2 linked regions of the Danio rerio genome follow. The protein of the gene in region 1 interacts with the protein of each later gene in a pairwise test. Links are inferred from orthologs where the notes say so. Each region holds a gene or a part of one and is shown in the gene's direction. Other genes may lie near its edges. The genes, in order: lmtk2 and myo6b.

What was found.
Region 2: the proteins of lmtk2 (region 1) and myo6b interact in a two-hybrid assay, tested with the Homo sapiens proteins (2 studies listed by BioGRID). The link is inferred for Danio rerio from reciprocal best matches to the Homo sapiens genes LMTK2 and MYO6.

What each region holds. Positions count from the first base shown.
Region 1 is NC_133178.1:66,143,769-66,159,238, forward strand, and holds part of lmtk2 (serine/threonine-protein kinase LMTK2), read left to right. Parts: intron 1-4,518; coding exon of another isoform or gene 4,519-4,521; coding exon 4,522-4,649; intron 4,650-5,970; coding exon 5,971-6,121; intron 6,122-9,825; coding exon 9,826-9,902; intron 9,903-14,221; coding exon 14,222-14,340; intron 14,341-15,470. UniProt on the Homo sapiens protein: Phosphorylates PPP1C, phosphorylase b and CFTR.
Region 2 is NC_133192.1:38,700,366-38,716,509, reverse strand, and holds the start of myo6b (myosin VIb), read left to right. Parts: upstream 1-8,416; 5' UTR 8,417-8,566; intron 8,567-16,144. Other genes in the region: senp6b (sentrin-specific protease 6), read left to right, coding at 22-141. UniProt on the Homo sapiens protein: Myosins are actin-based motor molecules with ATPase activity. Unconventional myosins serve in intracellular movements. Myosin 6 is a reverse-direction motor protein that moves towards the minus-end of actin filaments.

The sequences.
Region 1 (15,470 bases):
CATGGCTCCTGATGACACACTGAAGTCTTTTGAAGCAAAACGATTGATCAGTGTAAGAAATTCAACAAAATTTCCAATTTTATTAGCTTTAATCCACAGCCTGGTCAAGCAGTTATTGGTGAATGTTGTCCAATCGCTTTTTATTTATTCGTTTATTCATTTCTGAGTGAACTATCCCTTGAAACGTGTAGACCCAACTCAACATTCCTCTTACTGTAAAACCTCTTTTATTGGACTTTCCCTCATTTAATGAAGTCATTTATTACGAGGTTAACTCACTTAAAGAGATATGAAGAGTTTTACCAGGTTTATAACGTGTCATATATTAACTTTACAAATCTGATCTGAATTATTAGGTTTATTAGTCAGTTGTCTTATGTTTATTGGATTGTTTTTGCCATGTTTATCACCTTCTTTGCTGACATGGCATTGAGTAGGAATGCACGACGTGATGCTCTGGCTTGCTCTAAGCTGGTGCATTGACACTTTAACCTTCGTTTCTTTCATTTTAATTGCACATTATGCAACCTTGTTATTGATTTACTCTGTAACTTGAGAAATATGTAATGCGATTCACTCTTGCCCTGGACTGCCACCATTTTTTGTTAATTATTAAACCTCTGACCTCCTTTCTGTTGGAAAGTTTTAGGTTTATTTATGAACTTGTGAACAGCCTCTAAAGAAACGTGAAAATGAGGCAACTTCGTGGAACTCTCAGCGCAAATAAATTGTCATACTTGTTAAAATGATATCTGACATTGTGATAACACTTATGTTATCAAGTTGTCGGCTAGATAGTATGATGCTTTGGGGCTGCACGATACTGGAAAAATATGCGGTGTTGCTTTGATTAATGATATTTTATTTTTTGGCTTGGTTCCTTTATTAATCAGGGACCACAGCGGAATGAACCACCAACTATTCCAGCACAGTGAATGCCCTTCCGGCTGCCACCCATCTCTGACAAACACCCATACACACTCATTCACACACATGCACTGCGCCCGGTTTGTTCACCAATTCCCCTATAGCGCATGTGTTTGGACTGTGGGGGAAACCGGATAAAAACCCACGCCAACACAGGGAGAACATGCAAACTCCACACAGAAATGCCAACTGAGCCAGCTGAGGCTCGAACCAGCCACCTTCTTGCTGTGAGGTGATTGAACATGCATATATTCGACCCACAGACAGTATAATGCATGTAATGTCATGGCTTGGCAGGGTGGATGTTTTTCTATGAAATCTCCTGGCGCTTTACAGTAATGGTACGCCTATGTTGGAGTAATTTGCCTAGCAACAGGTCCCTCGTATACGTCCCTGAGCTCTCGTTGTAAACGCAGGTTGGGTTATAATGTCATTTGACTCTGAGTTCAGGTGCACATTACAGGCAAAGGATGTGGTTGGATGGAAACTCTCAATCCAAATGATCACACGTAAGGAGTTTTCTGCCGCACTGCAAAAATAGAGCCTCTGTTCATTGTGGTTAGTCCTTATCTATTTTGTCAGAGAAGTTATATATTTGGAACGAATTTCATTTGGTATAATTTGATATAATTTGTGCCCAAAAAAAACGTAAATAAATACATTGTGACCCTTTTAGAGTAACATTCTGATGGCCAGTGGCAGAAAAGGCACGCTCAGAATTGCATAATGTTTTGAGCTTGTCACGTGGTGTTGTCGGGGGAAGAGAAGGAGAAGTCCTGGGCTGTTTCTCAATATGCGTTCTTGTCTGTACTTGCGTTCTTGTGTCCTCGTGAAACGTCATCAACCGTCGCCAAAGTACTGTTCCAATTCAAAGTTCACAAAGTACAGATGAAATTCCCGGATGTGTACTTGCTCTGGCCCCTTGGCCAAGGATGCATCGAGAGATGACTTGTGCGAACTTGCGAAGCTCATAAATCCCAGAATGCATTGCAGCGTATTCAGCAAGCTATAATGGAACACCTGAAACAGCTGATCAGCACATCAGAGGAGACTCCGAAACCTGGCAGAAATTGATGAGGGAGACAACCAAAATATGTACTGTTGGTGTGCCTCCAGGAACAGGGTTGGGAGACACTGACTTAGGTCTTCTACTGGGTAAACAGTAATACTAATCAACAACAACAGCAGACTGTCTCCTGCAAAGCAGCTTTTATAAGCAAGTGTTCAGAATAACTCTGCTCGCTCTCATGTTTCATGCGGCTCTGAGGGTGTCCTGCTGGATTACTGATGCCACATTTATTACTATTATCGGCCATCATTCCTGCCACCGATGAAAGATCCTTCTTAGCATATTATTCATACATGCGCATCCTTGTCTGATAATTGTGCAAGACAAACTACTGGGTTAGCAACATGCCAAACACACACACACACATGTGACTGCGGCAGTGCACTCTGTGTTCCTGACCTCTCCTGCCACCAATTATTCCGTCTTACTGTTCAGGACCCCCGGGGCTTGTGTTGTTTTGAAGAGAGCAGTGTTAATGGTGTTGAAACACATCCAGCCTTTCAGCACTTGATATCTGAACTGCTGTCGGACCTGTCCAGACCACAGGTTCTTGTAAATGGTTTGTTTGTTGGCCACTGAGAGATCTGAGAGTCCCTCAAAGACAGATATGAATGGAGAATTAGTGATTTGTTGGGCTAGGTTTTACTTATACTTTGATTAATGTTTACAACAGATACTTTTACTCCACTTGCACTACGTTTTTAAGCAGGTAATGGTACTTTTACTTGAGTGTGATTTTTCACTGCTCATTCCACCACTGCCTGCAAGTTATGAAAGGCCCCCTACCGATCGCACTGGAAAGTGTTTTTTGGTCAATAAAATCTAAAAGTTTTTGTTTTTGACCAGAATTTTGAATTCTGCTGCGTCCCAATTTTTTTATGAAGACAGTTCCACCTTAAAAGGTTTTATATTGTACATTTACAACTATTTTTCAAATGATTTTTTCTGCGTGTGCTATCAAACTTTAAAACAGCGCACTCCTATCAGTCTTCATACTCTCATCCGATAGCTCAGAGTTTGTCACGGGGGCATGACTGAAATGTTCCTGAATGAAAGTGAAACTGAAAAACTGCAGTTAAAGTTAAAAAACGAAAACGGAAACACCCGAAATTAATTGAAACATTGGATAAACATTGGTAAACAAAGCAGCGACTGAACGCTAGCCCAGAAAGTCATGCGGTGTGAAAACATCTGTGATGCAACAACTTTAAAAACCCTGCAGTTTGAATTTGGCATATAATATGATGTAGTTTCATGCTCCGTTTACACTAGTGCGTTTTAGTTTTAAAATGGCGTTTTAGATCAAAAACGATCTGCGTTCATACTAGCGTTTCACCTAGCATTTCTGAACATATGTGCATCCACACTACGCCACCAAAAATGTATATCACGTGACCATTCGCGCACTCTGGGCATGAGCGTTCTAGTATAAACAGAAAACATGCGTCTCGCTCGGCATTTGGTTATTGTTAGTCAACAAACGCCGGTTGAACAATGAACGCGATGGCAAAGAAAGCAAGAGAGGTATTATTGTGGACAGACGACGAGGTCGAGTTACTAAACGTAACAAATGAATAACTGCACAATGGCGCCTAAAACAGACAATAGTGCAAACAACGCTCCCATTTCTGTGTCCATGTTGTTGTTTACAGTACTGTCTTCCGGTAGCGTTGAAGCCATGTGTTATAGTCATGTGATAGGGGCTTGACGAATAAGGGAAGGATACGCAATGACACAAAAGCCCCAATCAGGTAGCGAATCTCAGCAGCCCCGCCTCCGTTTTCAGATGTCTCCGTTTTCCCTCATCCACACTGAGTTGGAGCAGCAGCGTTTCAGAATAAAGCCAGCGTTTTTGAAAAGCTCCATTTTCTGCGCTCGAGAACTCCGGCGTAGTGTGGACGGATGGCGTAACAGTAGCAAAACGTATGCGTTTTAAAACAAAAATGCATTAGTGTAAACGAGGCCTGAGTCAGTATCGATCTGCCCTATATGCGCACTCTGCAAGGTGTGTAGGACCCCGCAAGTTACCAAAGGGCCGCTACTGATCACACCAGAAAGTGTTTTTTGGTCAAGAGCATCTAAAATTTTTGGTTTTGGCCAGGAATTTTTAATTCTGGTGCATCCCTATTTTTTATAAAGACTGTTCCACCTTAACCGCCACCTTAAAAAGATTTAATATTGTACATTTACATCTTTTCAAAGTGATTTTTATTTTCTATAATGACCCATTCCTTCAGTTTGGAGCTATTTATTTAGTGTATCTCTGTGTGTGAAGTGTCAAAAGTAATTACTCTCATTATAATCATTCGGTGCTGTCCTGCTGTGCCGTTCCTCCAGAAAGCAGATCCATGTCCTGAAGCACAGCTCAGCACTGACTCAATGAATGAACGAACGTGTGTGCATGTCAAATAATGCTGCGCAGCACAGGAGGGATTCCCTCTGAGAGATCATCTCTCGGTCAGCATCTGAGCTCTAATCATGTGTGTGTGTGTGTGTGTGTGTGTGTGTGTGTGTGTGTTCAGCAGAGGCTGCCGGATATGTGGATGTGTCTCTGAGCATCCCGCTGCTGCTGTCTCTGGCCGTGACGCTGGCCCTCGTGGTCCTGCTGCTCAACTGTGCTTCCTGCTGCAAAGAGCAAGAGATCAACTTTAAGGTGAGTCAATGGCTGCGTTTACATGGACAACAATACTCTTATTTCAGTACCATTAAGACAACACTGGTTAAGAGTCGACCATGTAAACAGAATTTTGATGACCTTAATCCAGCTAAAGTCATATATGTAGTAAAAACAAATCATATTAAGATTAGTATTATTAAGTATTAGTATTCCTGTTTTAGTGGCATTATTGTAGTGCAGTAGAGACATGTAAACACCCTAATGCAAACTATTACAGTCATGTAGGACTTTTAACTGCGTATTGCAATAGGAGAATCCTTGCACACACAGCTGTTTTTGTAAAAGTTACTCGAGTAAGAGTAAAAAAGTTTGTGTGTGTATGTGTATATACATATATATACAGTAATGGAGGAACGCCACCTAGTGTAGAGAAGTACGAGTACTGATTTTTCTCTAATAATTTACTTGAGTGAAAGAACACATTTTTTATTGTACTGAAAAAGTACATGTTACCCATTAATTTTACTCAAGTAAATGTAACGAAGTAATTGGTTACTACCCAGCTCTGCATCCGATAGCTCAGAGTTTGTCTCGGGGGCATGACTCAAATGTTCCTGAAGGAAAGTCGAAAAACGAAACCGTTGAAATGACATGAAACAATGGATAGTGTGGTGACGTGAATTGAACATGTTAAACATGAAAGGAGCTTTCTGAAAGCAGCTCATATGAACATCTTAAGGCTGATATATACTTCTGCGTCAAACGCTGGCGTATGCTACGGCGCTGACGCATAGCCCTTCGCCGTGGCCAGCGGCGGCGCTGATGTGCACCTCTAAAAAATTGTAACTACATGTCACAACGACGTGTAGCACAAGCTCTGTGATTGGTTGGCTTGGGAGCGCTGACGAGTCTGGGCGGGACCGAGAGCCGCGTGAATGGTGCGAGCCTGATGAAGCGATTGTTTACAAGTGTGGAGTCCCGTGAAGGAGCTCCAAATGGAAAGTTTTGTTTTGTGTTTACCTCTTGTTAAAGTTGTTGCACGTCCGCCGGTTCCTGCCTCAAAATGAGCGAGTTTGAGTCACTTGTACATCCAGGAAGTGTTCAGGAAAACAAAACAGCAGCGAAGAAACTCGACACAGAGGAACATTTACACCTCGCTGCCCACTTGTGTTTCGGAAGTGTTAATGCAGACCAACAGAGACAGCAGCAGAAGTATAAATGCACAGCGTTGCATGAGCCGTGGGTTACACAAGTCACATGACGCAGAAGTATAAACCAGGCTTTAGTCATGTTAGTGCCTCATTTAGATTAGGGCAGATCATTTCAATAATAATGTCTTGTGTGTGTGATCTGTCAGGAGTTTGAAGACCACTTTGAAGATGAGGTTGATTTCACGCCGCCGGCGGAGGACACCCCGTCTATGCAGTCGCCCGCTGAGGTTTACACACTCGCTGTTCCCCCTGTGCACCTGCCCGGACCCCCACACCTCCAGCTGCCCCGCATTACAGGTCAGCAACACATGCACACTGTGAAAGACTGGGGTTTAGGCATGGGATGATAACCTGTTTCAAGGTTTGGCAAGGTTTTAAAACTGCTAAGTTGTACTGTTATACCGGTTCTGTAAATATACACTCACCGGCCGCTTTATTAGGTACACCTTTCCAACCGATCGCTAACGCAAATTTCCAATCAGCCCATCACATGGCAGCCGCTCAATGCATTTAGGCATGTAGACATGGTCAAGACGATCTGCTGCAGTTCAAACTGAGCATCAGAATGGGGAAGAAAGGGGATTTAAGTGACTTTGGACGTGACTTCAGAGATGCCTTTTCAAGATGTAAAGTGTTTCTGAAACTAATGAAGACAGCAGAAGTCAATGATTTGCTTTAGTTATTCAGCCTGACATGTTTACTGCTCCAATATACTTTAAATGTGTCTTAAAACCAAATATATTGTGTTCAATGAGGGATAAAGGCCCAATCTCAATTCTACCCCTTAGCCCAGGGGTGTCAAACTCAATTCCTGGAGGGCCGAAGCCCTGCACTGCTCCAACACACTTACCTGTAGGTTTCAAACAAGCCTGAAGGACTCAATTAGTTTGATCAGGTGTTTTTAATTGGGGTTGGAACTAAACTGTGCAGAGCTGCGGCCCTTTTGGAACTGAGTTTGACACCTGTGCCTTAGCCCTTCCCCTTACTCTTACCCCTCGTTTTGTGTGTGCCCGTGAAGGGGTAGTGGTGTCCTAATTCTCTTTAGCTTGAAGGCGTAGGGCTAAGGGCAAGGCGTATACACCCCTTCAAATGAAGATTTTTCCAACACCACACTCGAAACCAAGGGGTAGGAAAAATTTCCCAGAATACACTAGCTCCAGCTGCGCCCGGAAGTAAGGAGATCCACTAATTAGTATTTTTTTTTGTCATTATTACCAATTTTTACAACAAACAAACACATGTTTTAATACATTCATAACCGCGTTCGTGTTTTACCGTCATGCTTTAAAAAAAAAAACGCTAAAATAAAAACTTTCGCGATCTATAATCCCCGATCATAACTTCTGTACTGCAGTCCCACAACATTCTGACACTCGATGACACTGAAATACCCTGTCAGAAAAGTCTAGTGGCTGGGAATGGGCTTTTTACAGTGTCTGCTATAATGTTAATTAGAGCTGCACAATTAATCGATAAAAGATGGCGATCTCGATTCCACCCCCTAGACCAGGGGTCTCAAACTCAATTTACCTGGGGGCCGCAGGAGGCAAAGTCTGGGTGAGGCTGGGCCGCATAAGGGATTCCACAAAAAAAAGTCCTCAAATGTCATTATTAACAGTTTTAATTATTTCTTCTGAACATGAAGTGTCCTGAACATTAACAGAACATTGAGTGAAGATTATGAACAGTTCTTCTGAACATGGCATCTTTTGCCTACTTCTTGCTGCCAGAGACTTGACAGCGCTTCTTCTCACAAATCTGAACCACATTTGGCTTTAGAGCGGAAGCAGTTGAGACCCTCAGTATGGCTTGAAGATGATCATCATTAAGTCTAGACCTGTACTTTGACTTATTGAAGTCCTAGGGAAAAAAATGGGGGAACTCACTCAAAACTTCCATTCCCTCACCTAAAAAAAGCGTATATATGTATAAATAAAACACCCCCACCCCACTCCAGTCACATCAGTCTGTACCAGTCTGTATCTACCTATAATATCAACACAATCTCACGGCAATTCGTAACTTTTTCATTTAGTGGCTAATTCGTATGAATTCGTACGATCTAATTCGTACAATTTAGTACGATTTGCTCATCCCCCAATGACGGTTGGGGTTAGGGGTGGGGTTAGGTGCCACGCCTCCTTTTAAAAATCGTAACCATTTCGTACGACTGAACTCATACGAATTCGTACGAATTAGCCACTAAACTGGCAAAACGTAAAATACTTACGTTTTCTCGTGAGATCAGGCTGATAATATATATAAGATGGAGGGCAGGCACGTGCACACATAGGGCTCAAGTGCCCTTCCAAAATGATCAAAAGTGCCCCCGCGACGCGACACACCCTCGATCCCGCCCTTCAGTAGGCGCGCCATAACACCGCTCTTGAGTACGCGCGCGACAACACAGCTGATCAGAACGCGCGCGACAACGTGCATTGAGTGACAAGCGCGCTGTGTACGGATAGAATCAGCGGAGCGGGGAGCGCTCTCTCTCCCCGCTCCGCTGATTCTGTCAGAGTACAGCGGTCGGCGCGGGCCACAAAATATTGCACTGAGGGCCGCAAATGGCCCGCGGGCCGCGAGTTTGAGACCCCTGCCCTAGACGATCTTTATCCAGCATTTCTACGATTCTGCCAATCATGTTTTCAAGTTCAGGAGAGAAGAAAACGCGGCTGCACGAGTCTTTTCATTGTTTCACATACGTTGTTTAGTGACATTGACACCTCCAAATGATGTTGAATGAGTCTCATACTGTATTTATAAGGTATAATTTACCTAAAAATGTCATTTTTGTCTTCATATAATGATGTTTTCGCGATCAGGAAATCACACGTGACGTGAGCTGCTGACCGCAAGCTGTTGTCACAGAAAGAGCGCGCGCGCGTCTACTTTAGTGAACAGAACCTGCATATGTTGCGAGTAACAGCTAATACAGTTGTTAATAATATTCAGTTTGTGGCACAGAGTGATCGTTTAGGAGCTGCGCGTGAAGTATGAACATCACTTAGCAGTCAGAATGAAACTGAAAGTGTGCACTTCATTTAAATGATCGTATCGCATTTTAGAGTTATGATTACGACAAGCATTTGATATGTCTTTTCTTTCATAGCGAACACACAGTTGTGCATGAAAATAAATGTTTACAATGTCAGTATAACTACTCTAGCTTATATATTGTTGAATATAATCTGATAATGACAAATGTCTGATTTTACCAGTGAATTAAATTGTCTAATATGACAGATTGCAAGCATATATCTCAAACATAATAATTCAACATCAGAATTATTATAAGTAGAAAAGAATCGTTTATAGAAACCAGTAGACCTACATGTTATATTATTATCGATGTTGTGCCATATGTTTGTTTTTACCATACCTTTATTCTACATATACAGAATCGTGATCTTTATTTTAAGCAAAAAAAATCGCGATTCTCATTTTAGCCAGAATCGTGCAGCTCTAATGTTAATGTTGGTGTGTTTACATCAATGAATATGGCCACTTTGTAAATGCACAGTACTGTTACGATCTTATTGCCACATCAGATCATTATGATAGCATAATAGAAGGCTTCAGTGATCTCCTGAAGATAAATACCAAAAAATAACACAACTGGAATCTCTACAGTAGCAGCTGTTGTTTTTTAGCCAGACTTTTAAGAAGAGCATGTTTTAGAGCAGTGACCAGAATACCACCAGAATCTTATACCGGCCCATGCTTACTGGGGATGCTACATTTTAACTAATGTTCCATAAGAAGTCTTCTCAACAGTGCGTTTATATATTCGAAAATATTGCAAAAATAGACATTGAAGAACATTGGTGCACTTTTTATTTTTAGTCCTCCCATTAACCTACAGATCAACAATGCACCAGTAAAACGGAACAATAGCTGTAATATTATAACATCGGCAATGGCAGTGGCTCATTGTAAAATGTGAGATTTACTGAAGGCTGTCCTCTGTGTTTGACGGTTGTGTTTTTCTTTCATGTTAGACGTCTCTTCCGGTCCTCACGTGGCACGACACTCTCTCAGTTACATTCAGGAGATCGGGAACGGCTGGTTTGGAAAGGTAAATCTCCTCTGTTTACACTCTGTTTCCTCTGTTTACACTGTGCACAACAAAAGCGTGATGGTATAATGATAGACTTTAAAGCTGCAGGATATTGAAAAAACATGTGACGTTGTTGAGTAGTGCGATAACGGTGTTTCTTACGATGCAACATTTCCCAAAAATAAAATGCTTTTTTTATTAGCTATGTTTTTTTTTTATTTTAAATAAATACATTTTTAATAATAAAATAAACAGGTCAAATATATATTTTAGGTCTAATTATTTTTAATTCAGACTAAAAAACGTTTTAAGATGCAAATATTTAGTCATTTAAGCACACTGAATGAGTGAAAACTGCGCAGATATTCTGACTCTGATTGGCTGTTGTCTTTTTCCTCTCTCGTCACGACTTATTAGTGTTTGTTTTCAGCTCTGGCTTCAGCGCTCTAGCCAATAGCAGAACAGCAACTTCTAAGGAGGTGGGGCTAAATATAGCAAGGCCCCAACTGATTGGTTAAATTTATGTAAACAACAAATGCTTTGAATAAATGTCATGAGTCAATGTGATATGTTTATTGCTTATGTTTATCACGATAACAATAATTTTGTGATATACACTACCTGACAAAAGCCTACTACAGATGACCTACTCGAACCCGCATGGACCAATATTCTCATAGAAATCAGTCAAGTTTGGTGAAGGAGAACTCATGGTTTGGGGTTACATTCAGTATGGGGGCGTGCGAGAGATCTGCAACATCAACAGCCTGAGGTATCAAGACATCTGTGCTGCCCATTACATTACAAACCACAGCAGAGGGACAATTCTCCAGCAGGATAGCGCTCCTTCTCATACTTCAGCCTCCACATCAAAGCTCCTGAAAGCAGAGAAGGTCAAGCAGCTGCAAGATTGGCCAACCCAGTCAACAGATATGAACATTATTGAGCATGACTAGGGTAAGATGGAGGAGGGGGTGTTAAAGATGAACACAAAGAGTCTTGATGAGCTCTGGGAGTCCTGCTGAAGGCTTTGTTCTTCATTCCAGATGACTTTATTAATCAGTGATGTCAGTCATGTCAGAGATGTATGGATGCAGTCCTCCAAGCTCATGATGGAGTCAGACACAATATTCATTCTGTCTCCACTGCAGCAGGACTTTATATTCTATACTGGACATTATTTCTGTTCAGGGACGAGACTTTAGTCTGAGCAGAGTCAGACCTTATTGTCCTAATCAAATCATTAATAATCAAGACATGATCAGATTTTATTGTGCTCAAATAAGCAAAATCTAGAGGCCTTCGCCATTCATATAAGACACTTCTGACACCACATGATCAACTAGAAGTCAAATTATTGCTTGTTTCTAAAACCCTGGATAGGTGACAAGACTTTTGTCAGGTAGTGTATTGTGCAACAGTGTGTGAAAGCAAGCGTTGACTTCAGAAGTATTTGTGAAGGAGAAACGTGCGGTTTCTCTCGAGGATTAATCTTAAATAACCGCATTTGGTGCTCTTGTTGGTGCTTGCTTTGATCTCTATGCTATCGGCCCCCGGGGGGCCAGAGTTTGACGTGAGCGAGGGAGTGTGTATACGGCACTGAAGACGTTCTCCTGCATGTGGATGTGTTTACTCAGATTAAGACTTAAGGGAAAACCTTGTTTCCTGGTGCTTTTTTCTGCTTAGCAGAGCCATGGGAACGTGCTCGTCTGTTGAGCTGAGCTGGCCGTCTCTCTAGAAACATAAGCCTAATGTTATCATCGTCTCCATTAACCACATGTTTGAGAAATAACAGTAAGACTAGCTTACTCATATTAATCTTTATTTAACATCTGTCATGAGAAAATTGTGATCTTCATTCTGAGCAAATTGATTGTTATTTTATCCAGAATCATGCAGCCCTAGTTTATACACACAAACTCTTATGTATAAATGTTAAAGGGCCATGAAAGCTCCTCGTTTCAGCAGGGTGTTTTCACACCTCTACTTTGGAAAAAGTCAAAAAAGTGGGCGTGTCCAGCTCTGTTTAGGGGGGAGTGTCGGAGGAACTAAAGTGGGAGGGTGTGGGAGTGTCTATTTGGGCACGCGTGAGTCAAAATACACACACACAGGAGAAAGTGATGGTGTTTAACCTTCATGGACATCTGTAGTCGAATTATTTGCCAAATTATTAAATGGTGGACTTTAACTGCAGTTTGGCTCTTTCATTCAGGGAATTCGGTCATGTCCCTCGCGACAAACAAGATATTTGATTTGAGGAACTGCTCTAAGCGTGTATTTTTCATGCAATGTTTGATGAGAGAAAAAAACCCTCATCATTTCCCGGAAACTTAGATGCTCTTGGCAGGTAGCGTCAGAAAGCCGTGTGTGTTATTCCAGTCACTAAATGCGGTAAAAACCCTACACGAGGTTAAAGTTTGGTTGTGGTGCTAACATGTTTACACTCGGTGCAATAGTTAACTTAGTTCGATACGAACAAACTGAATAAACAAAGAGCACTGGTCGCTAACTTACTAAATCTGTAGAGACAGGACAATCACCAGCAACTAGAGCCGCGTCTTTATTAAGAGGAGACGAGCAGCGAATCCGGATCTCAGCGTTTGCAGATGAGAACAGCTCTCAGGTAAACAATAATCCTCCTTAGACACGTAAGTTATTGTTGTCGAGCGTCGCGTACACGGTTAATTTATTTTTCTTAGGAAGTACAGTTTCATTTGTGTATCTTTAAATGAATAGGAATGAATAATGTCATTTTTCCTGTTCAGAATTTAACTGAGCCTTTATTTGTCATATATAATGGATTTATAAAGCATGAATAGTCCTCACTATAGATTAGCTCACAAACTAGATGAAGTTGATTTAATAAAGCATTTATTAACATAAATAGTAAGCAATAATATATGCCTGATAAGACATATAAATGTTGATTTCAATAGTTTATTAATCATTTATTAACTCATTCTGAATGATCCTGAAAACCCTCAACTACTCTTAAATACAACTGGTTTGTAAATAATGGGATACTTAATTTAGTAATGAAAAATAAATCATTTACTAAGTATGAAAATACAATTATTAAGCGCATTTTAAATGTGGTTACAAGTCAAGAATAGAGCATTTGTAGCTGCAGTTATAAACTGCTTACTAACGTTTATTAATGTAGAGTTAATGCTTAACAGATGATGAATTCACTATTTTCTAATGCTTAATAAATGATTTATAGTGTGTAGTTATTATAAAGTGTTACCAAAGTTTTTAATATTGAATTTTTTTTTTAAACTATGTACATTAATATGTATTTATGTATGTTTTATATCATCTTTACAACACATTTACAGTGTGTATTGGTGCAGGAAAGTAGTAGTAGTCTTTTTATAGAATTGTTCAGAAAATAAAACTTTTTTTTAAAAGAGCAACTCAAACATATACAAGAACAAAGTACATGAAAACATTAGGAAAAATACACAGTGAAATAATACTAATTAAAAAAGGGAAAAAGTAAATAAAAAACATTTTAAAAAAAACAAAAGATTTAGTGGTGAGTTGAGGGGGGGGGCTTAAAATTCAAGTATTTATAATAAATCTGTTTTTAAAATATGATAGAAAAAGTCTCCAAACTTTGAGGAATATTTTATTTGAGCCTTGGCTGCTATATTTGATTTTTTTTAGCTTTAGATATGCCATGACATTTTCTACCCATTTACTATGTGTTGGTGGTTTACCTGACTTCCACTGCAAAAGTATAAGCCTTCGGGCCAAACAAAGAAGAGAAAGTCATGTGTCAAACCAAATATTGCTATTACTGGATCTGGTAATCTCCTTTTCACAGATGTAAGAAAAAGTCTCAAACACCGCAGACCAAAATGGTCCAGAACAAATGACCCAAGATGGCCTCATCTCTGTGGCACCTCGAACTTGTTGGATCAGTTTTTGGGAATATTCTTAACAGTTTGCTTTTAGGAAGGTGCAGTCTTTGGATAATCTTAAATTGTAATAAACCATGTTTGACGCAACTAGATGTTGAGTGAATTTGCTTGGCCGCAGGACAGTAAATCTGACGTTATTCTCTCTTCTATCTGCCGTCTCACACTATTGTTTTCCTCTTTCTGAAAGTCTTGATAACACCATCCTGGAGTTGTCCTGTCATTATTTCAGCAAATAGAATTGTAGTGTAATGATTTGTCGTACTCTCCCATCCTATGACCACTTCTGCTGCTGGGAAACACGCAGATGTGCAAAGGGTGCATACCCACTGTCAGCAGAGCCTCAGTCTGCATCACCTGTATTGTCTCATTGTGTTGTTCTTCCTGAAAGTCACTGCTCTGCTTGCCTGACAGGTTCTGCTCAGTGAGATCTATGTGGACCCAGGAGTCGCTCGAGCGGTGGTCCGAGAACTGAAAGCCAATGCCAGCTCCAAAGAGCAGAACGAGTTCCTGCAGCAGGGAGACCCGTACAGGTCAGAGTTTTGCCCTCGTCTCTCTCTAATGTGTATGTTGCATGAAATCAAAACTAGCCATATTGGTTTTGTTAGCTCACATTGCTAGTTTTGTTGTGAACACTTCAACTGTGCGAGTCATTATGAAAAAAAAAACATGTTTGCGCATTGAAAATGAAATCTAAAAATGCACTTCCTGTTTGTTCGGTGGTAAATTCTCAGATTACGTCTGTCTGAGGTAGTGGGCGTGGCTAACATACTTAACCACGCCCCATCAGCTGTCAGTTTTGACTGCAAACAGAAATGGTGAGGAGGAAGAGTCTGTTAGGTTGGAATAACTCTCCCCCGAACCCCTTTCCCCATCTTTCTGAATAAAACGCCCACTTAACTACATCCAATCAGCTCACAGTCGAAAAAACAAGCCACGCCCACTGTGTTCTCTTTTAATATCAACGACTATAGAATACACAAGACATGTCACTCGTGTAGTTTTGAATTAGGAAAGGTTTAACAGTCACTATGGCGAATAAAGCACCGCCTACTAGTACAGTAGCCAATCATCAATCGCTATAGACTGACGTTCCTCCGGGAGAGAAGCTCAGACCAGACATGTGCTTTTAGAACAGATTTTGTGCTCAGCAAACACTGTAATCTCAGTGAATACTAGCTTCACAGACATGCTTGAAATCTGTGCTTTTAAATGAATCAACTACACTTGAAAACAAACGTTGTTTTGGTTTGTAATCTGTATGAAACGAATGCAAGGTACAATCCATCCTGTCAGACGCACTTCACATAACAGCAGCTGCTACTCAAACGCACACAAACTTGTAAACAAAGAGTCGCTGCCATTTCTAGAGGAGATTCGCCATCAAGACTGAGCTGAGGATTACTTCAGAAGAGCAGCGTGATCAGGCGATCATTATCCAAAGGATGATAATTGTGTATAACGGCCATAAATCAGGGTTGGTGTCGTGATCTTGTATCTTTTGAGTGCACATTGCGTGGGCAACCTAAAAATATGAAGAATTTGTTTGACTCGAGCATTTAGAAACGACATTTATAAGATGATTGTTATTTAACTTTATTGGCGATTCCAAATATGTAATGTTGTCATATGCTTGGCAAACAGTTTAAAAGAATTCAATGTT
Region 2 (16,144 bases), on another chromosome or scaffold:
TGTGTGTTTTTGTTTATTCAGGACCCACCTCAAGCTTTTCATCACAACATGGACTTGAAAGGCTGGTTTTCACAAAGAACAGTAAAAAGGAAGAGGTTGCAAATCAAAGAGCTCATTCTCAAACTACACAGACAACAATAAGATTTTTTTTTTCATCTCCAACTTATTATTACCACCTGTAATTCAGAAATAGGGTTATTCTTTACTGTATTTTTGAAAGCTAGAAGGTTAACTCGCATTACCTGCATGTCATTCTCCGCCTTGTCATCTGAAAGTATGCAGAAGCTCTTGTCTAAGTCATCTAAGAGGGACAAAATAAGGCATACTGTGGCTTTAATTACTGTAAAAGATTAATAATCTCCTAGAAATGTTTTAAGCAGCAGAACTGTTTCTCACAATGAAATTAGGAAATGTTTCTTGGAGAACCAAATCAGTATATTAGAGATTCACCCAAAAATGAACTGTCATCTTTGACTGCCTTGGTATCCCAGCTGTACTCTCCGTATTATACAGTTATTATTTATTATTATTATTTAAACTCTTGCTGATTTTTCTTGCTGCTTTAAATGATTCATATAAAAATGAATTTAGAAAAATGAGTTCTTTGCTTTGTAAATGGATGATTTGTTGTTGAAAGCAATAAAAGTAATATCTATTAATAGAATGTATTAAAATAACTAGATGCTGAAATCACATCTGAGTTTTATTTATTTTATTTTTATTTCAATTTTTTTGGTGAAAACTCATTTAAACATTTTTGACATTTAGATTTAAAAGTGCAGTATTTCTTCTCCTATAAGGAAGTGCAAAAAGTTCTGCAGGTTTCTTCAAACACCTTTGTTCTGGTGTCCCCTTGGTCAGCCAAACGGTGAGTACAGTGTAAAACTCGGACCATTGGTCCATTGGACCGAGGTGGGTTGTTAGCCCCACAATAATGCTCAACCCCCAACCTGGAGGACCAGGACATACACGCATACACTACAAACAATTTAGCTTACCCAATTCACCTATAGTGCATCTCTTTGGGCTTGTGGGGGAAATCGGAGCATGTGGAGGAAACCCATGCCAACACGGGGTGAACATGCAAACTCCACAAAGAAATGACAATGAAACCAGCGACCTTCTTGCTGTGAGTGCTAACCACTGAGCCACCATGACACCCCTCTTAAAATGTATTGCATTTCAAAAACTTAAGTTTTAGACTTTGAAAAGACTGAAATTCACTGAAGAATTGTGTTGTAGGTCTTAAATGCTTTTGAACAGGTCTTAATTTTGCTTTTGTCCAAGTAAAGCTACTCAATTAATCCTGTATAAAATTTCATTATTAATGTTCTTAAAAAGTCTTTAATTTTACATAATGAAACCTGCAGAAACCCAGTGAAAACCTAGTAACCATTACCTTCCACAAATTTAGTTTTTCCTACTATGAAAGTCAACGCTTACCCGTATCTAACATTCTTATAAATATCTGCTTTTGTGTTTAACAGTGAAATAAAGAAACACTTGAATTACTTGAGGGTGAGTAAATACTGAGTAAAGTTTAATTTTAGAGCGAACATTAAGGAAGATTCATGTAAACGAATAGTTGTCATGGCATATTAGAAATTATATATATATATATATATATATATATATATATATATATATATATATATATATATATATATATATATATATATATATATATTACTACTGCCTACAGTATAAATGGGAGAAGTCACAGGGAGCAATATGGCAAAATAAATCCTGTCTTCTAAACAAAAAAAACAAACCACAATCAGATTGTGTTGATTGTTGCTACAGCTGTTGTTCTAAAATCTTAAAAAACGTTAATGTTCTAAGATGTGCAATTAGAAGTAATACTACATTTAAATGCTTTTTTTGAGCATAAAAAAATAACATTTGTCAGTCTTTGTTATTTTAATGTACTCTGCTCAAATAAGAAAACGATGTATGGCAGTCTTATGACTTCCAAATACGAACAGGTACAACATGATCAAAATAGCTGAAATGGACCTTTTTCTTGGACATTTGTTGAAATTAAGATCTCAAGTATGCGTAAAATGAATAAAATTCAAAAGTGTGTCTTATGCATATTCGAAATGCATTTGTTCCTCCAGACTCGCTTCTGTCTCTGCTGGAGGACAGATATTTTTTTTCGGCCGTTCATGCAGATGATCAGATTGGCGTCCTGCACGATAAAGACAGATGACCGTCTGCCTCCCAGTACTCAAAATGAAATGCTTGATGTATTTCTGTGTTCCACCCTGGGCAAGGATTGTCGGACGGTAATGCACCACCTGATCTCTTTGTACATCAGAGTTATGAGATTCTAGACAAAGGGAAGCAAATACAGAATGTGAGAATTGTTCATTTTTAGGCCAGATGCAGCAGGGAAAAACTGCTATTTTATACACCGGTCGATTTAGAGATTTTGAACTTTTTCATTAAGTGTTTTTATATTCAGTGAAGTAGAAAGAAAACATCTAACATATACGCTTAAATTGTTCTTTTATTGCACTTTATCTCTTTGTGTCTTTGGATTTCAATTACTATACTTTTAATGAGATTTTTCTGGTGCACTGAGCCTTAAATCTCTGCTTCAGGGTTTTATTAATATCTCTATTCTGAAGGTTCTTAGAGAAGGATTTGTTCAAATATACTTAAATTTACTATAAAACACATTTTATACTTTTTATTTATTTATTTATTTTTTTCTAAATTAAGGAGTAATTGAGATTCCCAAACTCTTATTTAGGACATTTGTCGTCTTATAATTTAGACTTTTGTTGCTTTAATTTTTACTTAATATGTTCATGTAAAAATTTTTGTGACTTTTTGGCATTGTTATTTATTTATTTTTTATTTCTTTTATTTTTTTGCATAAATATGGGTTACAAGTATTTCGTTAATTTTTACAAATAATTTAATTGGGTCTAGTTTATTTCATATTTGTAATAGTTAACGTACATTTTTACTTCATCACTATTAGGCGTCATTTTTAACTAATTTCTGTTAAAATAAATTACGAATTCATACTTTTTTTAAACACAATTACTTGTCAATAGACTTTTTGCCATAATTCATGTTTCTATTTCATAAATCAGTCTGTCTGTCATAATTAACACAAAAAAGTGTTCTAGTAAACAACAACGATTCTTGTTCTTGGGCAACACAAAAGTATTAGCCCTCAAAACTAATTCTTTTTCAAATATTTCCAAAAGGATATTTACCTAATTAAAAACATTTTCACAATATTTTCTATTACACTTTTAGATTTTTTTTCTTTTAGTTTGGCTGAATTAGAAGCAGTTTAAAAAATAAAAAATAATAAAAATAATAATATTAAGATTTATTTCTCTTAATTGGCTACAGAACATTTCACTGTTATCCAATGACTTGCCTAATTAAGTCTATGAATTGCAATGTAATCTGAAATATGAGTATCTTATGAAATAACAAGTAAAATATTATATATGTGTTTTTAGAAATTAGTTATTAAAACTATTATGTTTAAAATGTTGAAAAAATCTGTCCTATAAACAGCCTTTACTATTTGAAATTAGAGCTAACAATTTTGTCTTAATGTGTAGGTTGTGTTTGTTAACACTTCTAGATGTGACTTGATCAAAGGTTCAGGTTTTTGTACTAGAAATATATGTAAATTCGTCCATATAATTAAACATTCTTATTTTCACATTTAAACATGCCATTTTAACAGACCTGCAATATGAGAAATGTTCGGTGTGTACTTTTATTATTATATTATTACCCATTCATCTGTGAAGTCTATATTATATTGGCTGGCCAAACTGAATATGTGTGCTAAGATGCAGTAGTTACAGCCTTTAAAGGGTTAATGTGCGTAATATAGTGAAATATGAGAAGTTGAAGCAAATGAACTATATCTGCAAGACTGTACAGTTCATTAAAATTCAAAGTTCAAAAGAAAGCTTGTATCATTTGATTAACTTTGAAACCTTGAAAAAGACCACCTGCGAAGGCCTCACCTTCTTTCCCCTCTTTTGGGATTGGCTCCCTGCTGTGTTCTCCATATGAGGAACTCGCTTTATCTCCTTTAATTCAGAAGTGTTAGAGCTAATGAGACTCTTTGAGTGGATCATGCACTCCACACTCAGTTATTACTTCAGTGCTTTGTGGAATTACCCATCTGCCAGCAGGCCAGCAGCATATGGAATGAGGTGTAATTTAAGCTCAAATGTTTTTGAGGGATTGGTTACCGTTTGAGGTTCAGGAAGAGCTGAATACATATGAATGTGTTTGTATATATTTGAGTCATTTAAGTAGTGGCTATTTAAATGGGTAGCAATCAAATTAGTTGAATCATAAAACATATTAAATGTGTAGTGACTGATTTATAATTGGGTTGTTTTTGGTTATTAAATGCACCCTCTAGAGTTTATAGTGCATATAAGTAGCTTCAATTATTAAAGCTTTCGATAAAACAATATTTTCAAGGTCATTAGTCAGTTTATTTTGCAAATTTACCTGGACAAAAGCTGTTGCTTATAGCCTTTTAATTCATTTACCGATGAGTCTATTTTTGTTTTGTTTTTACATTTTAATTCAATTTAACAATGTTTTAATACTGGAATTTGTTTAAAACTTTTCTTAGATTATTCCAGGATTGTTATGTCTGTGGATGTTGGATAATCTAGTAGCGCTGTCAGGGTGGCATATTCTTGATCGTGTTTTTTTTTTTTTACTACAAATAGTACATATCTATATATTTCATTTCGTGATAAAACATACCAAAATTACTTGCAAGTGTAGAATGTTGTAGATTTTACTGTAGTTTTTAACAGTATTTTTGGTAAAGTTATACACAAATAAAATTAAAGTGAAATGTTATGTTTACATCATGAATACCTTAGTATCACAGAGTCACTAGTTTTTTTAATAGTATTAATTACTTTTGTTGCACAGGCATATTTTTTGGCATTAAATCTATTGTATGGCTCTTTATTATTGATTTTGTGCTACCATAAGTATATCAAAACTATAATGTTAGTTATGTACACTCACTGGCCACTTTATTAGGTACACCTGTCCAACTGCTCATTAGCGCAAATTTCTAATCAGCCAATCACATGGCAGCAACTCGATGCATTTAGGCGTTTAGACATGGTCAAGACGATCTGCTGCAGTTCAAATTGACCATCGGAATAGGGAAGAAAGGTGATTTAAGCGACTTTGAACATGACATGGTTGTCGGTGCCAGACAGGCTGGTCTGAATATTTCAGAAACTGATGATCTACTGGGATTTTTACGCACAGCCATCTCTAGAGTTTATAGAGAATGGCCTGAAAAAGAGAAAATATCCAGTGAGCGGCAGTTCTGTGGGTGCGAATGCCTTGTTGATGGCAGAGGTCAGAGGAGAATGGCCAGACTGGTTTGAGCTGACACACGTCGAACCTTGAGGTGGATGGGCTACAGCAGCAGAAGACCACACAGGGTGCCACTCTTGTCAGCTAAGAACAGCTAAATGAGATGGAATTTAGCACAGGCTCACCAAAATTGGACAATAGAAGATTGGAAAAACGTCTGGTCTGACGAGTCTCGATTTCTGTTGCCATTCAGATGGTAGGGTCAGAATTTGGCGTCAACAGCATGAAAGTATGGATTCATCCTGCTTTGTATCAACGGTTCAGGCTGGTGGTGGTGTTATGGTGTGGGGGATGTTTTCTTGGCACACTTTTGGCCCATTAGTACCAATTGAGCATCATGTCAATGTCACAGCCTTCCTCCGTATTGTTGCTGACTATGTCCATCCTTTTATGACCACAGTGTACCCATCTTCTGATACTTGAACAATGAGTTCACAGTACTCAAATGACCTCCAGTCACCAGCTCAATCCAATGGAGCACCTTTGGGATGTGGTGGAATGGGAGATTTGCATCATGAATGTGCAGTTATGATGCTATCATGTCAATATGGACTAAAATATCTGAGGAGTACCTTGATGAGTTTATGCCATAAAGGATTAAGGCAGTTCTGAAGGCAAAAGTGTGTCCAACCTGGTACTACAGTAGTAAGGTGTACCTAATAAAGTGGCCGGTGAGAGTACATTACTACTCTGTAAAAACAAATCTTGCTGCCTTATTTTTTTAGTTAAATCAAATGAACTTGTCTAGCTTGCATCCAACTATTAAGTTACATTTTGTACAACGTAAAAAAAAACAAAAAAAAACATGAAACCGGATTAGCTCATTTTAACAATAATGTAAAGTAGCAAAACATTTGTTTTCATCACTTTGCTTGATTTATTTTTACAGTGCAAGCATTATAGACTCAATTTAAAGACAACTTTCCTTGATGTTTAGTTATTTTTTTCTGATATCCCTACTGAAAAAACAACTTTAACCAGCCTAAGCTAGTTGGCTGCTTTTAGCTGGTTGACTAGTCTGGTTTTAGAGGGGTTGTGGCCACTTCCAGGCTGGTTTCCAGCAATTTCCAGACTCGTCTTAGCTGGTCAGGCTGGGAGATGACTAGGTAAAACCAGCTTGACCAGCCAGATTTAAGCTGAACTTAGCTGGTTTTGGCTGGGCTCCCAGCCTGGCTAGGCTGGTCAAGCTGGTTTAAGCTGGTCATCTCCCAGCCTGACCAGCTAAGACTAGTCTGGAAATTGCTGGAAACCAGTGGCCAAAACCACTTTAAAACCTGCCTGGCAGCTAAAACCAGGCTGGTTTAAGCAATTCTTTTCAGTAGGGATATTTACTAAAACTTGCCAAATCATAACAAAACATACATCAAAGTAACAAATTTATTCAACTTTCATGTGATGTATAAATCTCAATGTCTAGAAATTGACATTTAAAAAAAACATTTAAATTATAAAATTTAAACTTAAATAAAATTGATTTATTTTTACGTCTCGAGATCTGATCTCAGAGCATATTCATACTCTAGTTATGCTGGTTATTTTATGTTTTTATTTATAATGTGTCCCAGCTGGCATAACCCCCTTACTTCATATGTTCTCCCATTAGAGCTAGTAATATAGGCTACATAAAAAATTATTATTTTAAGATAATCATTTTGCTATAAGAACTCTTTCATATTTTTTGCTTCTGGCAAATGTGCTCTGGTACACCTTGCATGCTTTATGCACGTTTGTTTTTATGTCTGCAATGCTCTTGGGAAATGCAGAAGTCAGCGTGGCATTAAATCTAATTAATGGAGCTTCTTCAGGCTCACCAGATGACTTAAAACTCTTGTTTAGCTGTTTCTGGGGAAACTGATGTCGAATATTAGGCCTACTCTGTCTCCATCCCAAGATATTCTGTGAGACTATACGTAACTCAAGCTGGAGGCTATAGTTAACCTGTATAACACCCCAAAGCAACAGCATGAAGTCGTATATGGGATGAAGAGTGGTTGTCAGAGTCTTAAACACACACAAAAAAACTGTTTGTTATAACTTTTTTGCTTAGAAATTTGATATAGCGACACGTAGTGAGAGATCAGGTGTCCTAATTAGATTTACAAACACAAAGTCTGCTTTCAATGTGGTTTAAGATTTCAACTTAGGAATACTTCTATACGTTTTGAATTACAAGCCAAATAAAATATTAATGAGCCTTCAGTTTGTATCAGTTGCGCGCCTTTTAGTAACTATGGCAACCCAGTAGGCACCTTGTGACTTTCTCCTCATCCCTTAGCAAGTTTTATCCATCCTGAATTAAACTTTACTAGTACGTTAACGAACTGGGACTTGTTTTAGTACAATAATACAGTTTATAACTTGAAGAACTGATTCCAGCCACCAGAACGTTTTAACTTAACCTTCTTTTAGTTCCCAGAACGTTCTTTTAAGGTTTTTGGTTAGCCAAAATGAAAACAACATTAGCTTTAACGTTAGGTTGTAAAGTGTACACAAGACGATAATAATGTGCTTGAGGGGATAACTTTTAATATTAGACGACCTGTTTTAGTATGTTTGATGTTTTTATGTGATGATAACACTATTTTTTTACATAACACTAATAAGCAGCTTGATTTGAGCGATAAGAACTGGTAAAATTTACCATGACATACTATATATTTAGTCATTAAAACTAAAATATTCCTCGTAAAACATATTCTATATCACCTTTATAGTAAACAACCAGTTATTCGTGTCATTTAGATCAATCAATGTATCGGCTACGTCTTAAAAGATTAGTTTGCGCCCTACCTAGGCAGCATAATGGTGCGTCATGTATTTGTAGTGAAGCCCGTCAAGTAACTTATATCATTGTAGCGCGTACATGTAAAGTCCACTGCACTCGCCTACTGCATGCCGCTTTTACTCAAACTATTTTGCCAGTCATGACCCTGTGTATTGAGACACCACCTGTGTCAGTCAGCGCTACTGTGTCACCGTTGAGGTCGCTGTTATTCCAGTGGACTTCAGTCTGAAGCCGGACACACAGAGAGGAACGACAGCGGCTTTGGAAAAGGGAATATTCAGCATCGAGGAGGGAATCTGTCACCGCTAACCGGGACAGTCTGTCGCTCATCTGTCCTCAAAAGAAGCTGCTCTTACCGGATTTACACACAATGTGAGTGACTTCGCTTACTTTATTTATTGCTTGACTGCGCTTTGTGGCAACTAAAGGTGTTGTTAGGCGTAAGTTGTGTTTAATTGCTTCTACAGTGGCGCGCTAGCATGCTGCTAATGAATGTGTTCATTCAGTATGGTTACAGTGAATTTTGTTATGTCAATGTTTGCAATGTCATTTATTTTTGCAGAATTTTGTTTAAAACGCAGGGTTGTATGACAACGAGTTCGGTTAACAAACTACTAGGAATACATGTATATCAGCGATAGTTAAATTCATTCTTAATCTTGCTTTTGGTTGTGTTTAGTTTTTTTTCTTTGAGAGCTTTTTCTATGGTGTTTTGTAAGCTGCGTGTGTGTGTGACCAAAGTTTTCCAGAAAATTAGTTAAGGCAGGCAGTATGTCATGGAAACTCGACAGGATATCCTATGTGTGCAGTTATAACGAGTGTAACTTTCTTCTGAAGTTGTGGAAACCATTGACAGAGGTAACGTTAGTTATTTGGGTTCCAATCGTATGAATGATGGATGCTTTAAACGCTGAATTAGGTGACTGTAAACTGCCGTTTGTGCGCATGCGCGACTGCTCTGGTTAAACGTCGTAATGGTTCCACCTTTATAATCCCCCAAGGGTCATTCTACGAAATGTGTGTCGTTTAAAGCGATTTATACTTGCATTTATGCACACATACAGTATGCATGACATTAATGTGGCTATTGCAGCTAGCTTTTAAAATGATTTTGGTGAGAGCTTTAAAAATAAATAATAATAACAAAACTTTACATTGCAATTCATTCATTCATATATTCATTCATTCATTCATTCATTCATTCATTCATTCATTCATTGGCCACACTTCATTTTATGGTAAAACTCTTGCTATTAATAAATCATTAATTTTGACTTGTAGTTTGACAAACTTCTACTTTGCTGCTTATTAATAGTAAGGTTTTAGTTGGCTTTATGTGTTTGGTAGGGTTAGGGATGCAAAATATGTATTTTAAGTACTACCAAACAGTTAATATCTCATTAATATACAGGCAATAAGCCAGTTGTTAATAGTAAGAATTAGTACTTGAACTAAATTGTTACCTATTTCATATGTTGTTGCAATTTTGCAATAATCATTTAAGAGATATAGCCTTTAAAATATATTTGTAGAATTTTGGACTTATGTAAACAGAGCATCTTTAGGTGCCAAAAACTCATTTTGTTATCTTGTCATATTAGTGTCAAAAACTATATACTGTATAATATCCACCCCCCCCCCCCCCAAAAAAAAAAATAAATAAAAAAATTCAGATATGTGTGTGTGTGTGTGTGTGTGTGTATATTAGGGATGCAACGATTATACATTTTGGTTGTACGATTATAGTCATGGAAATAATCACGGTTTCACGGTTATCACAATTATTATGCATTTATTAATTTCAAGCCCCACCAGTTTAGAAAATAAGATAAAAACTCCTTTTGCTTTACAGTGTTATTTATTGCTGCTCAGTAGCTAATTAATAAAGCACAAAATAATATAAAAAACGAACAATAGTAAATTTCTCTCTTTGTGCTTAAAAATAAGTGAATGTTTTTGACATTTAAACAAAGAATTTTACACTGTAAATAAATGACAGAACAATAAATAAATAAAAGAAAGAATAAATAAAAAAATGTAGGAGCACCCACTAAAAATTAATAAACACCACTGCAACTTGTATATTAAGGGATTTATTGTATTTGAAAACAACATCAATTAGGACTAACAAAAACCACAAACAACTATCTAACTAATGCTGAGATGACTTATTGATATTTGCGCAATAACTTCAAAATGAATGTCTAATAATTCTAAAATATTATTGATGACGAAGATGACACTAATACTAACAATGAATGATTAACATTTCTCATTTTCTTGCTGCTTTGAATGTGAGAGTTATCTGCTATAAAAAGTCCTACTGTTACTTTATGATAAATAAATGTATGGTTTGCATCAAAAAAATTAAGCATTGCAGTAAGAAAAGTTTATTTTGCACTATTGTTTTATATGCTGGTTAATTTACAAACAGAAAGAATGGACAAAAGAAAGGAAGAAAAGTCTCACTTCTGCTCCTATTTAAAAGTTTTGGTTTCGGTTTGTTCATTGTAAATGCTTAGTCTCGTTATGCTCTGATTTTCATCACTCTGTGTGAAAAAAACAACAACAGTGAGTCAGCCGGCTCATACAAGCGGGGTAGAGCAGGATTCTGTAGATGACCACCAGTGCAGTACTGTTGTCATGAGCCGCAGTTTCAGTTTAAACTTAGTAAAGGCGAGCTTCTTTGGGCGATAATGTGTACATTGTTAGGTTTTACATTTAGCAGAAATTTGCGGTGAATGCAACGCATCAAGATTTAGGCCATTAAACAGCTGATCCAATCCAATTCTTTCAGCACTCTTTAAAATCACTCTGTTGATCTTGGCTGGTGATTTAACATTTACTACATGATCGCTCTTATCGGCGCCATTAATAATAACTAATAATAATAAAGCAAGAGCGCTGTACGTCGTGTGTGCGTCCCTCCAGTGGAAATAATGAACTTGCATGAGCTTGCCTTAGCCTCGGTCATAGTTAATCTAGTGTGCGTGGTTATTAGTCTCAGTGACAAACTAGCGCAGTTAAGTTTCAGCAGTGCAGAAACACGGTGTGACGAATTAAATCGCAGTTAATAGTGAACCCGGTTGCATCCCTAGTGTATATATTGTTTTCTTATTCAAACTGGATCTTGTTGATGCATTTTTCAATGCAGCAGGAAAAATGTATCTCACTTTCACTCAGAAAATCACACCTTCACTTCACAAAATGCATTTACTTGCACAAACTTTCACTTGCCGAGAAATATTTATGATGCTTAGCTTTTATATTTATGTTGACATTTGATCAACTATTTGCTTTATTCATATGCATTTATTCAAATTCCATTATTTTCAGCGTGGTTTGTAAAAATACAATAAAATGGGGTTCAAATTATATTTTAACGAGATTCTGTTCTTTTCACTATTGAAAATGGTGTATATTATGCAGTAATAATATGGCAAAACAATAGTAACATTCAAAATGAGTCTGCGATGAAAATGAGAATGAAAATGAGAATGAAGTCTGCTAGGTTGGACGATATTGGAAAATCCTATATATATATATATATATATATATATATATATATATATATAGTGTATTTGCTGTGTAATTAAAAACACCTAAAGTTACAAATGATGTCACATCTGATTAATGATCATTTGTGGAATGTTAATCCACCGTTTACTCTTTTCAGAGTGGATAAAAGACATTGAGTTTAAAGTCCGCCAAGATATATATATATATATCGATTGGGATGATTCTGTAGTGGAGTGCATCTCCATAAAATCTAATGCATTTAAAATCAAGTACATTATACATTTTCGAAGTGGTCTGTGCTATTTGCAGTGCATTTCTGCATGTGTTGTATTTTATTACATAACTATCTATAAATACAATCAAGAAAAATGTACTCTTGAAATAAAGTGTTTTATCATTTCCCTTGTCTAACAGTATTCAAGTACAGTAAAACAGGGCTCGAAATTAACCTTTTTTCTTGGTAGCACTGGTACTCCCAACTTTAAAAAGTTAGGAGCACCAGCCAAAATTTAGTCACACCCACCAATTATAAGCACCGTTACTACAAGTTTTAATGTTATATTAACCGACTTACTGCATTTGAAATAAACACTAAACAATCTAACAAAACGACATCTGCATGTGCCCACCAGCCCTGCATGCACTGCTTGACATGAATTAAACTTAGTTAACTTAGCAGTTCTCACGGGTGCTGTGTAATATTGCACAGATAAGACTGACATAATAGCTTATTATTTGCATACGTCATCTTAATAGCAATACGGTTTTTTTATGAGCTGCAATATTAGTTTTATCTTAATGAATGCAAGCCCTTTTGCGATTGTGTACGTGGTGTTACATTTTACATACAGCTGACAGCATCCTGTTGATTAAATGAAGAATTAAACAGAACCTCTTGTGCTAAAATGTGTAGATTTGACAAACGCTGTTACCTGCAAACTCAGTCCCAGCGGCTTTACGGTGAATGCTTTAGTCATTTTCATAGCGGACTTTAAACTGAATGTCTTTTATCCACTCTTTGAAAAGAGTAAACGGTGAATTAACATTCACCAAATGATCATTAATCAGATGTGTCATCATTTGTAACTTTAGGTGTTTTATAAAACTTAATCTGTCAGTGTTGTTTTCATCCTCTCATCTCCAGCCCTTAACATGTTTGCGGTTGTAGCTCTCCCTGTCATCTAAAGAAAGCCATCGAATGAGTGATTGGCAGCTGATATTAACCAATCCGTTCGCATTCAGTGCTAGAGCAGTGGGCCAATCAGAAGAGCTTAAAGGTGGAGCAAGCATTGTGGGCTTTGTTTACTGCAGCAAGTTGACATGACAACTGTTTTAAACCATTTATGCGCGCTTTGTCCAACCCAGGCTCATTCTGAAAACGTAGTCCAGCGGATGTTTCTGGAGACCGCGAAATACGTCACGGGAGGTACGTATTTGTGCAGTTATTGTTTTTGCGAATCCGCGAGAGGCCGCTGTGCGCGCTTTTTCGTATCTTGATCGTCTCTCGCGAGTGCCGTTTGCGCCCGCGCTGTTCTCGCGTCAACCGACCAGAGGCCACTGTCTGACTGACCGAATAATTGACCGCGCAACCGGCCAATCGGCTGACCCACCCTCCTCCTTCCCTGAACCCAACCAGTTTTACCTATTGATCCGCTCGCCCATTTACTTTCTTAAACCCGAGCAACAATTTAGAAAAGCCGTCTAGAAAAAGAAAAGCCCTCGTCTGTTTTTTTTTTTTTACCACGTTTTCGGATTTCACCGCATTCTCACCCTCAGTTATGAACTCGTTCGCTTTATTTTTTGGATTCTGTTTTTGTCTTACCTGGTTTCTGGAACCTCTCTTCCCCGGACTCGATCCTGGATGCCTTTTGTCAACTCCTCCTCTCTGCATCTAAAGTCCGCCGACGCACACGATGAGCTGACCGGACAAACTGACTGCAGCAGGAAAGCCCTTCACACGGAGGTAAGCGGTCAGCCGGCAAGCGCGAAAGGTAACGGCGTCACACCGCTTAGTAGCGTTCGATTAAAAAAATGAAATGCAGCCATACGTACCTCCCGGTACGTATTTCGCGTGCTCCAGAAACGTCCGCTGGACTACGTTTTTAGATAAAATTTTGGGCACATATGCGACCAAAACAATCGCAATTTCGATCCCTTTAATATAATAAAAATAAACATAATTTATTAAAATTAATCATAGTAAGGGTCTCAAACAGTACAATCTTGAATCTGAATGCTTTTAAAATCAGTATACACTCACAGATATCCTGCAATGTGACTATTGCGAATGATCACATTGCGATATCAGTGCTGAAACGGTATATTGTGCAGCCCTAGTTGATACAGTACAGTTTTAGTGAAAAATACTAGCATAGCTTGTAGGTTGAAGTGTAAAATGAGCCCATTTCATGATCCTGATAGGAAAAAACAGCTGCCCTGTTTCTCTAACCATGACATCACTGCAATATAATGCAGAAATATCCTGCTGAGGAAACACAATTATGCAAATGCTTCTGAACCAATCATTAATATAATGGCTTTCATAAATTATACATAATCAGCATTGTGGTGTTTGATCCACATTAGTTTTAGTTGCCATCTAGAAGCATCTTGCATACTAACTAATAACATTTGGCTTGCTTAATTTTTCAAGTTCTCGCATATTTGAACGCTCATTTGAATATTTATAAGGCAGCAAAAGCACAGTAAAATGTTGGCTTTGGAAGTCCCAATCACACTGGCCTTTTTGCATCCTGTTGCGTCCTGTTTTCCATATCCTCTGGCTAAAAAGAGAGCAGGAGGAGAGGAAGGAGGGGGAGTTTTGTGTGGTACAGGAAACTCATGTAGCCCTTTGACCCCGAAACATCTCCTATGACAACGCCTGTCCTGCCACGCACATAATTACTGCCTGTGCAATTACTCATCTCTCTGGGAACATCTCGCTGCAAATTTGCGGAGCTTTAGATAGAACAGTGTTTATTTGATGCGGTGCAATGAGCCAAAAAATGTGGGAGAAGAAAGTGTTGTTGAGTGTCACAGTATGCAGACACAGAATATGTTTCTCACAGTTTTGTTGGTATTTTGGATCAGTTTATTCTTGTAGAAGAAATGGTAGATCAGCCGCACGTGCATTGCCAAGTTTATCGTAAATTTCAAGTGCTTGTAGAGTTTAAAATTATTGGATGCTTGCTTTTTAATTTTAATTTTTTTACATTTATTTTTCAATTAAATATTTTTTTTTAGCTTGTTGTTGTTGTTGTTATTTGTATATTTGATCATATTCATATTTTATTTAAGTTATTTTATTATTTTATTTAAGTGCATTTTGTTTTTATTTTATTTATTTTTTTGGTCTGTTATTTATTTATTTATTATATTGATTTATTATATTTATTTGTATATTTTATCATATTTCTATTTTAAATTATAGTAGCCTATTTTTGTATATTTTACTTTAAGTAATTGATTTATTTACTTTATTAGTTATTAACCTATATAATAATAATAATAATAATAACTATTATTATTATTATTATTATTTTTATTCATTTATGTTTTAAAGTTTTATTAGCCAATTTTTTGTAAATTTTGTTTTTATTTATTTGTGTAAAAGCCATTTATTCATTTATTTGCTTTATTATTATTTTTTTTTTATTTGTACATTTTATCATGTTTCTATTTTATTTGTTAAGCAATATATGCCTATTTTTGTATATTTTGTTATTTTATTTATTTATGCCCCTATATTATTATTATTATTATTATTATTATTATTATTTTATCATATTTGTTTTAAAGTTGAATGAGCCTATTTCTTTGTATATTTTGTTGTGTTTAAGCAATTGATGTTTACTTTTAGTTATTAGCTTGTATTAATAATATTAATAATAATAATTTGTGAATTTTATCATATTTGAATTTTAAGTTTTATTAGACAATTTTTTTGTATATTTTGTGTAGATTTATTTATGTATAAGACATTTATTTATTTGTTTGTTGTTGTTGTTATTGTTATTATTGTTATTATTATTATTTTGATAATTATTATTATGATTATTATTTTATTTGTGAATTTGATCATTCTTTTTTAATTGTACGTTTTATCAACCTTTTTTGTATAGCTTGTTTTAATTAGTTACTTCATTTATTTACCTATTTATTAGCCTATATTATTATTATTACTATTATTATTTATTATAATTATTATTATTATTTCATCATTAATAATTTATTAGTATATATTTTTTCATTTTTGCGTTTCCTTTGTTTTAAGTTTTATTTTTTTTGTATTAGCCCATTGTTCATTTATTTATTTGCTTACCGTTACATGTTTTTGCACCTTGCTAGACACAGTGCTTAGGAGTTGCAAGGCAATTTTGGTCCAAAGGTCCTACTTTTATTTTTCCTTTTATCTGCAAATCCATGGTTTCG